Ovis aries: one gene and its partners. The protein of the gene in region 2 purifies or fractionates together with the protein of the main gene of each other region. This does not show direct contact. Links are inferred from orthologs where the notes say so. Each region holds a gene or a part of one and is shown on either strand. Other genes may lie near its edges. The genes, in order: PIP4P2, PRKAG3 and PFDN1.

The links.
Region 1: the proteins of PRKAG3 (region 2) and PIP4P2 purify together in Homo sapiens (affinity purification with mass spectrometry; 3 studies listed by BioGRID and IntAct, with this or other methods). This does not show direct contact. The link is inferred for Ovis aries from reciprocal best matches to the Homo sapiens genes PRKAG3 and PIP4P2.
Region 3: the proteins of PRKAG3 (region 2) and PFDN1 purify together in Homo sapiens (affinity purification with mass spectrometry; 3 studies listed by BioGRID and IntAct, counting the BioPlex papers as one, with this or other methods). This does not show direct contact. The link is inferred for Ovis aries from reciprocal best matches to the Homo sapiens genes PRKAG3 and PFDN1.

What each region holds. Positions count from the first base shown.
Region 1 is NC_056062.1:86,355,792-86,359,315, reverse strand, and holds part of PIP4P2 (type 2 phosphatidylinositol 4,5-bisphosphate 4-phosphatase), read right to left. Parts: intron 2,330-3,524; coding exon 2,239-2,329; intron 1,604-2,238; coding exon 1,460-1,603; 3' UTR 1-1,459. UniProt on the Homo sapiens protein: Catalyzes the hydrolysis of phosphatidylinositol-4,5-bisphosphate (PtdIns-4,5-P2) to phosphatidylinositol-4-phosphate (PtdIns-4-P).
Region 2 is NC_056055.1:220,806,501-220,810,819, forward strand, and holds the start of PRKAG3 (5'-AMP-activated protein kinase subunit gamma-3), read right to left. Parts: upstream 2,804-4,319; intron 2,352-2,803; coding exon of another isoform or gene 2,331-2,351; coding exon 2,177-2,330; intron 1,839-2,176; coding exon 1,435-1,838; intron 557-1,434; coding exon 475-556; intron 252-474; coding exon 193-251; intron 93-192; coding exon 47-92; intron 1-46. UniProt on the Homo sapiens protein: AMP/ATP-binding subunit of AMP-activated protein kinase (AMPK), an energy sensor protein kinase that plays a key role in regulating cellular energy metabolism.
Region 3 is NC_056058.1:49,170,297-49,174,520, forward strand, and holds the start of PFDN1 (prefoldin subunit 1), read right to left. Parts: upstream 2,802-4,224; 5' UTR 2,786-2,801; coding exon 2,753-2,785; intron 193-2,752; coding exon 26-192; intron 1-25. UniProt on the Homo sapiens protein: Binds specifically to cytosolic chaperonin (c-CPN) and transfers target proteins to it. Binds to nascent polypeptide chain and promotes folding in an environment in which there are many competing pathways for nonnative proteins.

The DNA of each region.
Region 1 (3,524 bases), on a different chromosome or scaffold from region 2:
TTAAATCCTAGTGAATTCCTAGAAAACTACATTGCTTTTTGTCTTTGATCTGTATTTGGAATAAATTTGGTAATCATTTGACCAGCTATCTTTGAGAAGGATGATAAAACTAACTACATCTAATCTTAACATTTTAGCCTGTGTAAAATGTCACAGGCTTCCTTCACATTTCAGTATTCCATATGTGTGTTCTCAGTTGTGTCTGACTGACTGTGACTCCATGGATTATAGCCCTCTAGGCTTCTCTGTCTATGGAATTTTCCAGGCAAGAATACTGGAATGGGTTGCCATTTCCTCCTCCAGGGAATCTTCTCAACCCAGGCATCGAACCCAAGTCTCTTGCATGTCCTGCACTGGCAAGCAGATTCTTTACCACTGTGCCATCTGGGAAGCCCCACGTATTCCATAAATTAAGGGCATGGCAACCCACTCCAGTATTCCTGCCTGAAGAACTTCACGGACAGAGGAGCCTGGCAGGCTACAGTCCATGGACGTGCAAAGGATCAGACACGACTGAGCGACTAAAACACACACACACACCCCAATAAGAAAAATTAACCATGATCTAATGAAAAGGAGGACAATCTGATACAGATACATTTTTGTAAACTGTTAAACATTATGAAACATGTTATGTGAAACACTTTCTTCAAGTTCCATAAAGGAATACATAGAGATGGTTAATATTAAATTTCATAAATCTAGGCCAGAACTTTTATAATTAGAACATTTTCAAACAATGACAAAAATGAAAGACAAAAGTCCTGTGATCTTTGAGAACAAACATTTATCCAACATATCTCCAACGGTGGACAAATAAATATTTTATTCTCATATTTTAAATTACTACCAAAATATTATTTATTTCTACAAACAACATAAAACAAGCATACAGTATCTAGAAATGGTCTTTATCTGACAAGAATGTCAAGTCTTTGAAGGTACACTAAACATATTTTTTTTTCCTGAACAATGTCACTATGATCTTAGGTTAAAGTTACTATAAGCAGTTCAAGCAAAATGCATATTGCTTAGATTTAAAGCAAGCAATTGTGATAGCTTAATTAAAAAGTGAATATAAATGTGAAGCTATTACAGCAATATTTATAAACACTCCTTGAGAATACTCACAGACCAGCAAGTAATAGAATAATTGATTTAAAAATAATGAAAGTGTGGTGTTAGGTATAAAGATGGGAACAAATCAAAAATACCTTTAAGACATGTAAAAGAACATGAAGACCAAGCTTTATTATTTGGAGCTTGAAAACTTAGCAGCAAAAGAAACTATTTGCCTATAATGTAGTACAATAAACATTTGTTCATATAAGGCTCCCAGTCTTAAAACTTCATACATAAATGAAAATGAAATCCATTAGGTAAATGATTTAAGATGTCCAGAGTAGCTTATCAAGAACTGTTAGATACCCTCAACCGCATCACAAGGTCATAAACAAGCTTATGCAAAACTGTGTTCTGGATAACTCACTCTTATGGCTCCCCAATAACAAGCTCGGATAAGGCAGACCAAACCTAAGAGATAAGCAATTGCCCAAGAAACATAGGTTGCATGAAATCGTCTTGCAAAATCTTGGGTACCAACCTAAAATAAAAAGCAATATAAAAATAAAAGGTTAGAAACTGAGAATTTGTGTTGGCTTTTTTGGTGATTTTTATGAAACATATTCCCGAGATGACAAAATATGAGTTGCTGCATTTGTTGACTGACACGGATAGAGCAAAATTTCATAAAATGACATAGCAGATTATGTTAACTATACATTTTATCAAATCAACAAAAATCCCATTAAACCATTTATAAAGGAATTTAATCTATATCCCTGATGCCATCCCCATATTGATAATAAATCTTTGTCTGACTTGAATAAAAAGAAGAATTTTTTAGACCATTGTAGCTGAATGAGTATTGCTTCAGCTCTGGCCATGGCAAAACTGGGGCTGGCACTAAATAAAAACAAATGGGCTTTTTGTTAAATGCGTGATATCAAGAACTTTCAGAGGGATCCCAAGACATGATTTCACCTGGATGGGCAAACTCCGCTGAGAACAAGCCCATGGATTGCCTTCAGATTGCTCAAAATTTTTTAGAAGCTTCTAGCCTGGCATGTCAGGGAGGCAGGTTCTTTAGGGATCAATGAAAGTTGTTCCAAACCTCACCATTTACTACTGATCAAGTTAAGAGGAAAGAATTCTAACAAGGAATAGAGTAATACTCACAGTTAATCCAATCCCAATGAAAATACATATCATTCCAATGGTAATATATACACAGCAGCGCCTTCGAGGAAGTGCACTACCCACTGAAGAACTGTAAATTTCATGAGAACAAAAAAGAATATTAAGTATGAACATGAAGGTTCTCCATATCATCATTGTGAGTACTAATTCATGACTTTAGTAACATATATATGCTTCCATTTATTTCTTCAACTTGAGAGACAAGAACGTGCATAATAAGAATGATATCTGGGGGGACCTCCCTGGTGGTCCGGTGGTTTAGAATTCACCTTTCAATGCAGGGGACGTGGGTTCAACCCCTGGTCAGGGAACTAAGAACCCACATACCGCAGGGCAATTAAGCCCTCGAGCCAGAACTAGAGCAGTCTCCAAACTGCAACAAGAGAAGCCTGCTCCCTGCAGCTAGAGAAAGCCCATGCACCACAACAAAGAGCTTGCAGGCCACAACGAAGACCCAGTGCAACCAAAATAAAAATAAAAAAGAATGATATTTTTAATGAGCTATCTAAATCATAATTAGTGAGTTTGTGTTGTAGTGACTCGTTGTAGTTTTAAACAAGATTCAAGTCTTGGTCATTGACAATATCCATAAAAACCCACAATAGTCAATGATTATTTTCCAAGATAAAATTTTATTACCAAAAAACTCTATTTCAGAATGGAAAATAGGTTCTATCTTAAAAATAGCATTTTTTTCTCTTACATTTATAACTGTTGGCATATGTTTAGTGTAGAAAATAAGAATAAAGAATAAAAAGGAAAATTACCTATAATTCCACTACCATGAATACCACTGAACATTTTGCCTATTTTTCTGCAGCCATCTTTTCTAACTTACCAATTTAGCATAAGCATTTTCTTACATCATTAGGTATTCTCAAAGTAGAATTCTGAAAGATGAATATAACATAACTTAATGAATTCCCTACTATTGGACACTTAGCATTTTCCTTCTTGTAAATAACGCCAGCCAAGCTTCCTTGGTGGCTTAGCTGGTAAAGAATCCACCTGTAACGTGGGAGACCTGGGTTCGATCCCTGGGTTGGGAAGATCCCCTGGAGACGGGAACAGCTACCCACTCCAGTATTCTGGCTGGAGAATTTCATGGACTGTATAGTTGAAGTGGTCACAAAGAGTCGGACACGACTGAGTTACTTTCACAAGCAACATCTAAAATCATTCTGCTTTTTAAAAAGTGGAAGTAGAGGTGATTTACAATGTTTGTTTTTTTTAAATTTCTGCTGTCCAACAAAGTGACTCAATTT
Region 2 (4,319 bases):
CCACACCCTCTACACAGCCCCTTTGCAGGACCCTTTACCCACTCACCCCTCCAGGTCTCAATCTTGTGTTCTTCAATCTCATAGATCTGGACCTAGAACATCAACAGAACTCCCAAGTCAGACGTGGGCTCCCTGAACTCCCTCCGCCCCAGTCCAGATGGGTGCCCCCAGGACCCTGAGCCCACTCCTCACCAGGGGGGACCGGTAATAGCGATGCAGAACCAAGATGAAGTCTGTGATAGTCAGCATCCCTGTGGGGGTGGGAGAGGGGAGAGAGAGGAGTGGGGTTCACCCCGGGCCCTGTGGCAGAGGCAGGTGGAGGGCTCAGCCCCTTCTCCATCAGCTGGTTACAGCTGTCCCACAGATGGGGGTCTCCCAGCCAGCCTGTTCCCCCCAAGCCAGGGCCCTGCCCCAGAGCTCAGCCCCTGAATCGCCCCACAAGGTCCCCCTTTTCCCTCCCCGGCCCCTCCTCACCCACGAAGCTCTGCTTCTTGCTGTCCCATAGAGGTGCAGCCCGGACGCCGTTGGCCACCAGGGCAAAGAAGGCCTTCTTGATCTGAGCCACAGGGAGAACAGTTGAGGGTGAGTTACTCACCACCCCTCAGAGTCCCCTGTCCTGACCAGGGGCCTTCCAAGGGGCCTTCTCACAGGCCCTCCACTCCAGGAGCCTGCCTGCCACTCGACATGACCCTCATGGGCACATTTGCTACAAAGATAAGGCTGCAGGTGCCCGGGGGCACTAGGTGACCCCTTAACAGGCACACCAGGGCATAGGAGACAAACCTAGTATTTCTACACCAAGGTCCAAAGTGTACAGATGCATACAGGATAATTTGTGCCAATCTAAATACTAGAGGTGTAATTCTCTGATATTTACAAAATATTTTTCTCTAAATATATTTACATTGACTCATTTTGGCCTCATCTGAAGCAATACTATCCATACATGCTAGTTGTAGCTTCGTAACACATATCAAAATAAATGCAAAGCTACTAAATTAAATATATTTTTTCATATACCGCTAGAATCAAAGTGAACCGTGGGTCATAGATATACCTTGTTTCTATTCTACACTACAGTCTGCTGTTCGATACACAGCAAGAAAGAAATGCTTTCTATACAATTCTGGGTGTGAAAAATGCTCCCAGTCATCCTGGATTGGCCCAGGAGTCCTCTGAAACTTGTAGGGTAAAGCAGGCATTCCTGTCCCCATTTTAGAGCTGAGCAAGTAAAAAGACCTACCCCAAACCCTATAGATACTGAGTTGTAGAGCTGAGATGACAATTAGGGGGTGCACACAGAGAGCAAAAGCTCCCCTCCCCTGGTCTCCATGGTGCCAAGAAGGAATTCTGGAAGGAATGTGTAGCCGGGCAGGGCTGGCAGGGGATCCTGGGGGCTGTGAGTATGCAGGTGGGGCAGAACGGCGGCCTCACCTGTAGCATGGTGTCAAAGATGACCAGCTTGGAGCTGGTTGCCATGGCGTCGTAGCAGGTATGCTCCTGCATGAAGTGCATGTAGACCTGGGCCCCTGGCTTCCGCAGCTCATCATCCCAGCCAAGCCTGAGCACCGGCACCTGCGGGGGCGGGCACTGGGCCGGCCTCTCTTCCACCAGGCCGAGCTCATCCCCCCACGCTGCTGGGGCTGAGAACTCTATGCCCAGATCCAGACCGTCTGTGCTGGAGCCGGAAGCAGAGGCTGTACAATCAGCGGGGAGGCTGTCTCGCTCTGTTGTGGGGGTGCCCACCTCAGACAAGGGATTGGCTTGGGCCAAGGGTGTGGCCTTGGGGAATGTGGCCTCCAGCCCGGTGGACTCAGCAGCTGGCCTGGACTGGGGACCTGTTCATGGGGAGAGGACAGTAACTCCATCTTCCAAAGCATGTTCCCATCTGTTGTCTCCCTTCATCCTCAGAGCAGCGTGGGAAGCCTGGATGCGGAGGTCCCCATTTTGCGAGTGAGAGAGCCGAGAGAGTCACACCAGAGGGTGGCTCTGTCCTGAGCTGGCCTTGCTGGGCCCCTGGATCAGCACTGCAGTTGCCCTCTCTCATGTGGGGAAACTGAGGCCACAGGATGTCAAGCGTCTGTGTTATGGAGGGATCCAGGGCAAGGCCAGCTCCAGTTTCGGGGACTTCCCACTGCCCCCAGTCCCATCTCCCCAGAACTGGCCGTGGCCTCACCTCCCTCCAGGCCTGGAAGCTCCCCTTCCTCTACATCCTCCTGGCTTGTCCATCTTGAGACCTTGGTCCTCTGTTCCCCAAGGCTTATTTCTGCATTGGTGGTCATGGCTGGTGATGGCCATGAAGTGCTGTCTCCTTGCTCTAGGAAGCTCATCTCTGGAAGGGGGAATGGAGCCTGTTTGGTTAATGGGAGTAACACAGTAAAACAATTGAAATGTTATTAACAATAATATTCCATATTTGCAAACGTCCAAAGGTCTTTTCCTCCAGTGTATTTCTCATTCAGACCTCATAGCAGTCTTGTAAGGGAGGCACTAGTATCATCCCTATTTTATTGACAAGGGACCTGAGATCAGAGAGGTTAAGCAATTTGCCACAGATCACACAGCTAGCACGTGATTAAGTCAGGAGGCTCCAAATCTTCAGACTCTAGATCCACCCCCCTCCTTTCTTCTTCTGAAAGAGGAAGGAGGAGAGAGGGAAAAGGCGGAAGAAGAAGCAAGTAGGAACAAAGAAGGAAAAGAAGAAGACAGGCTAGTGGGGTGGGAGAGGTTGGGAGCCAGAGACGTGGTAGGAGAGGAAGTGGAAGAAGAGGCTGGGCCCATAAGGAGGGGCAGCCCCACCTACCTTGATGCTCAGGTCCCCCAAAGCTGCTCCAGGAGGGGGTCTGTGTGGAGAAGAGTGACTGAAAGGGTGGGGAGAACATCCTACACTCAGAACCACAGGAGCTGCCCTTCCTGCCACACATACACAACCACACACACCCCCACAAAACTCAAACACCCACCCCCCGCCCCGAACACACATAAACACATTCAACCCACCTAGACACTTACATACACTCAGAAACTCCCATATTCAACCCTCTCCAGACACACACAGGCACATAGACTCACACCAAGAATATACACATGCAGACAGCCTCCTGCTCCTATACACAGAGGAAATCGTGGTCAAACACACCCACATGCACGCACATATCCATGCGGCAGGGTGCTCTCAGCCCTGTGGCCTCAGCTGCCCCAGCTCCCGGCCCCCCGGGACCCCGGTACCCTGCGCAGAGCGTGCTCCAGCTCGGCGGGCTCCATGAGCGAGTGCGCAACACTGTATCTGGGCAGCACTATTCTGGGCCCGGCCCCTGGCACCCTGCCCTCCCGGATCAGGTTCTCTCTGATTGGGTGTCGGGCACTGGGGAGGAAGGGGTCCACCCGCGCAGCTGCTCCAGCCCTGAAGCCTGGGGGCTGCTGGGGAGGTGAGGGGAGGGGTGCACTTGGAATCTTGATGCCTGGTTCTGTGTGCCTCCTGCGTGTCCGATGATGGGAGAGAAGGACCCTGCTGTGGGGGGAGGGTGGGCGCTGGTGTGGGAGGAGGGGGTCTTTCAGAGCCCTGGGGTTTCTCCTCTGAGAGCCCCTCTCATCTTTGTCAGGTGCCAAAGGAGGAAAAACAGAGGCAGTTGAGCTGAACTCTCTTGTACAAACCTGGGTCATGGGTGGTGCTGGAATTAGAAAGGGCAGGTTGCAGCCGGCTAGCAGGTTGGGGCTAAGAGTTTTGTGGGTGGTACTGAGAGAGTGGTCAGTGTGTGTCCAGATGTCACTATTCGAGTCCCAGGGGCCCGTTCTCTAGGTGAAGGATCTGGAACTGGACGGTTCAGGCAGGTGGGGAGTCCTGAGAATCACCTTGACGACGTGTGGTGGGCTTGCACTTGTCTCCAGTGTGACAGACACCTGTTTGTACCTGTGGAGGTAGATCCAGGTGTGCAGGAGCCACTGTCCCCTCGTGCCACTGTGTGTGCTGTTTCTACGTCTCCTGGGGCCAACAGGATCCCAGCTGGTTCTGGTGGCTGCCCACCCACCCCCCCTTCCTTAGCATTCCTGGGGCCTGAGTCAGCGTCCAAATTGGGAATGCTGACCCAGCTGCTCCAGCTCTCCTCTCTGCCCCCCTCCCCTTCTTCTTCTGTTTCCAGCCTCTTCCATCCCGATCTCACCATGGAGTGAACGGATGCTCCGTAATGGGTTACTGGATTTCTTGCTGATTTAGTGAACGTATTTCCCATCATCCCTCAAAGCCCCTGTACTGCCTATGGGGATGGAGGAGGAGAACAGAGCCAGGAAGAGGCTAGCCTGCCACGTGTGTCTTGGTCAGT
Region 3 (4,224 bases), on a different chromosome or scaffold from region 2:
CCCCTTAAGGATATACTTTACTTACATTCTTCCTACACCTTCATACATGTTAGTCTCATCTACCAAAGTCATAATCTCTGTATCTGTAAGATGTGCATGCTTTTTCGTTCTGTTCAGCTGTTCAATCTGTACATCTGCAAGCTTCACCTTCTGTTGAGTGTCAATAACTTTGGCTTGAAGCTCTGTGAAGGCCTAAAAAGAAATAAGTCCTTGATTTAGTAGGTGCAACATTTTACAGTAAATGTCTATATCAAATCTATTAAAATGAAGCCTGTTAAACAGACAAAGCCGTGAAATTTACCACAGCAAACATCTCAAAGCCAGTCTGCTAAAAACTTGAGCCCTGAACAATTCAGTGATTAGAAGCACTGACCCTCTGTGCAGTTGAAAATCCAAGTATAATTTATAGTTGACTCTCCATATAGCAGTTCCTTTGTATCCCTGGTTCTACATTTGTTGATTCAACCAACTACATATCATGTAGTACTCTAGTATTTACTATTTTAAAAATCTGTGTACAACTGGATCCCTGACGTTTAAACCAATGCTGTTCAAGAGTCAACTGTACTGAACTTACCCAGTCCTCAGAAGATGCAACCTATCTGAAGAAGCTGAACAAAGGCACGGTAAATAACAACCATATCAAGTAGCAGGTACCCAAGGATTAATAAAAGCTCTAAAGGCAACAATCACAAACCCAGAGACCCAAATCAGGAACCATTAATGTAACAACTCACCACATCTGTACTACTCAAGATTATTTAAAGCACTTTCCCACACTTGTTTGAAATATTAACATGTGAATATTAATATGAGAATACTGACATATAATAAATGTCTCATTTTCTCTTTTCAATAATCCTGAGTTAAGGATGGCAGATTCATCAGCACAGTTTACAAATTAACTAAATGTTTTAAAGAGATATAAATGACTTTCACAGGGCTGAGCAACTACTAGGTCAAAAACCAAGTACTTAATTAACTTCTGACCGCTAGTTACTGAATCTTTCTACTCTACTATCCACAGTAATATTCAGAAAATGAATATTTTAAGAGAAAGACACACAAAAAAATTCAAAGCATTGATAAAAGAATTGCATCATGATCTTCATATGCACACGATAAGCCAAACTTGACCTCTGAGTACTGTTAAAAGGTTTTTGATACTTCTGAAGTGCCTAGAATGATTTTCACATGCTGTCAAATTCTGACTTAATAATAACATCTGTGGCTGCAATACATGGCAAAAAGCTACTAACTTTTATTCTGACTTTGTTCTCACCTACTAGTAAGGTTTCAAAAGGTTTATCTAGAGGGGAGAGGAGGTACCTAAAGTTTCCTATTAGTCTCCATCCCTTCCCCTCCCCCCAAAATTATAAACATTAAAAGACCTTTAAACAAGTTTCTTCTGTAATTTTATTGGTTGACAAAACTACCCAATTTAAGTCTGTAATTATCTTCTTAGTTTGCATTCACTGTCCACAGGTTTCCCAGCAACAGACTGAAATAATACTGAGGGGTAAGTCCATTCATAGCTGTATTCTATTGTTAGCTCTCACTAAACCCTAACTTAAATTTGAACTTTTAACGGAAAAAAAAGGTAAACTTTTAAAACACTTTAAGACACAGTTTGGTAAGGAAGCTAGTATTTTGTTAAAGCTGAGATAATACAGCACTAGACAGCACCATAAGGAGTAAAGGTACAAGTTCCAAACAAAAGGCAATACACACACACAAATCCTCAGAGCAATAATACACTGCTTCATCTATTACGTGGAAGAGCTACTTCAACTGTCTTATTTCTCATGCAAAGATAGATTACAAGACAGTCTTAAACAAAATTTGCTCTTCTAACCTCAAGTAGTGGTCAAAAGGTGGAAAGTGAGGCAGAGAATGCAATATTCTAGAACCAAGCTTGGGCTGACTCTTCTGTTAAACTGTTTCCTTTTCTAGAAAAGTATCAGTTTAAAGTAGATGAAGTCTAGGCTCCTTTCCAATCCCCATTCTCCTTCTCTTCGCAAAAAAAAAAAAAAAAAAAAGGATACGCTTTTGAGTCGGTAGTGGTGTTAGAATCCTGACAACTCTCAGGTGGTGAAAACATTTCTGTGTAACAACACATTTCTAGGCAATTGTTTGAAGAGAGAAACTCAATTCCTTCTGATACCAATTTGATCTGGAAACCTTTGACTTGTTTCTTCTTTGACAAATCTTTAAAAACGAGGGTGGGGAGGGGGCGGTTGTTGGCAAAGCCCTAAGATGAACATTGCTACGAGGATACCTGACTGAACTGTATGAAGCGACCTTACAAGATATGGGATTAAAGAACTGACCTAAAAACAGACTGGACTTGGAGTTTTTCAAAGCAAATTAGTATACAGAATTACAGATGCTACAGCTCGGGCAAGCAGGCTAAGAGGCTCCAACTGGAAGCGCTCATTTCAGGCCTCACTATGGAACTGAAGGCACCAAGAGCAACGAAAGGTCTCTGGAGCTCGGAACAAGGGAACAAAACAGCTATAGGCCCGCCAAACTTAACCAGGCCCAGCCCAACCGGCTCTTACCCGGCAAAGAGCCGCTCGCCCTCGACTCCCGCCTAAGGAGGCCCGGTCCCGCCTTTGCACTCTGAGAAACCACTCCCCATTTCCCTGGGGCCTCTTTCCTTCCGCAGCACTCGAGACTCACTCGACATTATTGTCCACAGTCGCCTTAGCTTCCAAAGAAAAGCTTCTGCCTGCTCAAGACCCTCTTTTACCTTCTTCAACTCCAGATCCACGGGGGCCGCCATCTTGCTTCACTACTGCGCCTGCGCAGTGGGAGAAGCCCGGAAAGAGCGTGGGGGAAGGGCGCGCCCTGAAGATTTGATAGGGCCTCTTCCTTCTGCGCCTGCGCATGAGTGGGGCTGCTTGGTTTTCCTACCTTCCCCGTCGTTATTAACGCCTGAAATAACCGGGATTCCGATTCAGAGTACGTCTTCCCCACGTGACCTATGGGCCTGCCGTGATTCTCCACATCCTTCCAAACACGGCACAATCTGCAGATTTCGTGTGTGTGTTTTTTTAATATAAATTTATTTATTTTAATTGGAGACTAATTACAATATTGTATTGGTTTTGCCATACATCAACATGAATCCGCCACGGGTGTACACGTGTTCCCCATCCTGAACCCCCCTCCCGCCTCCGTCCCCTCGTGTGTGGTTTTAACCACTTCGACAAATAGTTTAGTTTGTGTCGCTAAATTAAGATGTATGTAGATCAAGCTAAAACCTTTAAAGTCATTCATGCCTTCAGCGAGTCCTGTGCTGTCAGGGAGGGATGAGAAAGAATCAGCCTGAGTTTCAGACATGGCAGCATGGAGAAGACCAGAAGGCTTCAGTTCAGTTCAGTCGCTCAGCCGTGTCCAGAAGGCTTAGTTGAAGCGTTTTCCCAAAGAACTTATTTATACTGAATGTTCTCAGAAGACCTTGTAGACACAGGAGTTCTCACGAGAAACCAAATTTCTTTTTAAAAGAAAAAAAAAATGCAGATTCTCTGATCCTCATCCCAAACTTACTTAGAATCTTTGATATGGGGCACAGAAATACATACTTTTGCAAACTCCTTTTATGATCTGATCTAAGTGGACTGCAAACCACATTTTGAAAATCTGCTGTAAAATAGCTGGCATTTGAACCAGAAGGATGACTAGAAGGATGGACATGAAAGAAATGGATATCTTCCTTACTCTAAAAACCTGTGAGGCAGGGGAAAGGGCAGGGAGTTTGGAACTAAACAAATCTGTATTCAAGGTTTGGTCTACACTGAGCGTAGGTATGTCTGCTTCCATTTACTAGTTGTGTATCAACAGAGTCTGTCTCCTCATTTAATATGAGAATAACAGTACTGACCTAACAGAGTTATTCTGAGGAGTAAACAAGATCAGGATGGAAAGCTCCAAGCATAGCACAATGCACACAGTAGGCACACAATAAAAAGGTATAATTAAGTTCATGTAGTTAGCATTGTTATATTTGTCTTTCAAGATACAGCAAGCAGCAGACACATAATATGTATCCATTATGTATTTTTTTTATTTTTTACATCACACAGACCATAAATAATCTCTCCTTGGAATTTCAAGACTACTTCTGTTCCTTTTTCAAGACACATGACACTATCTGTCTTAAAAATTTTTTTTTATTAGACTTATTAGCTGTTCAAATGTCCATCATTCGACAAATGGATA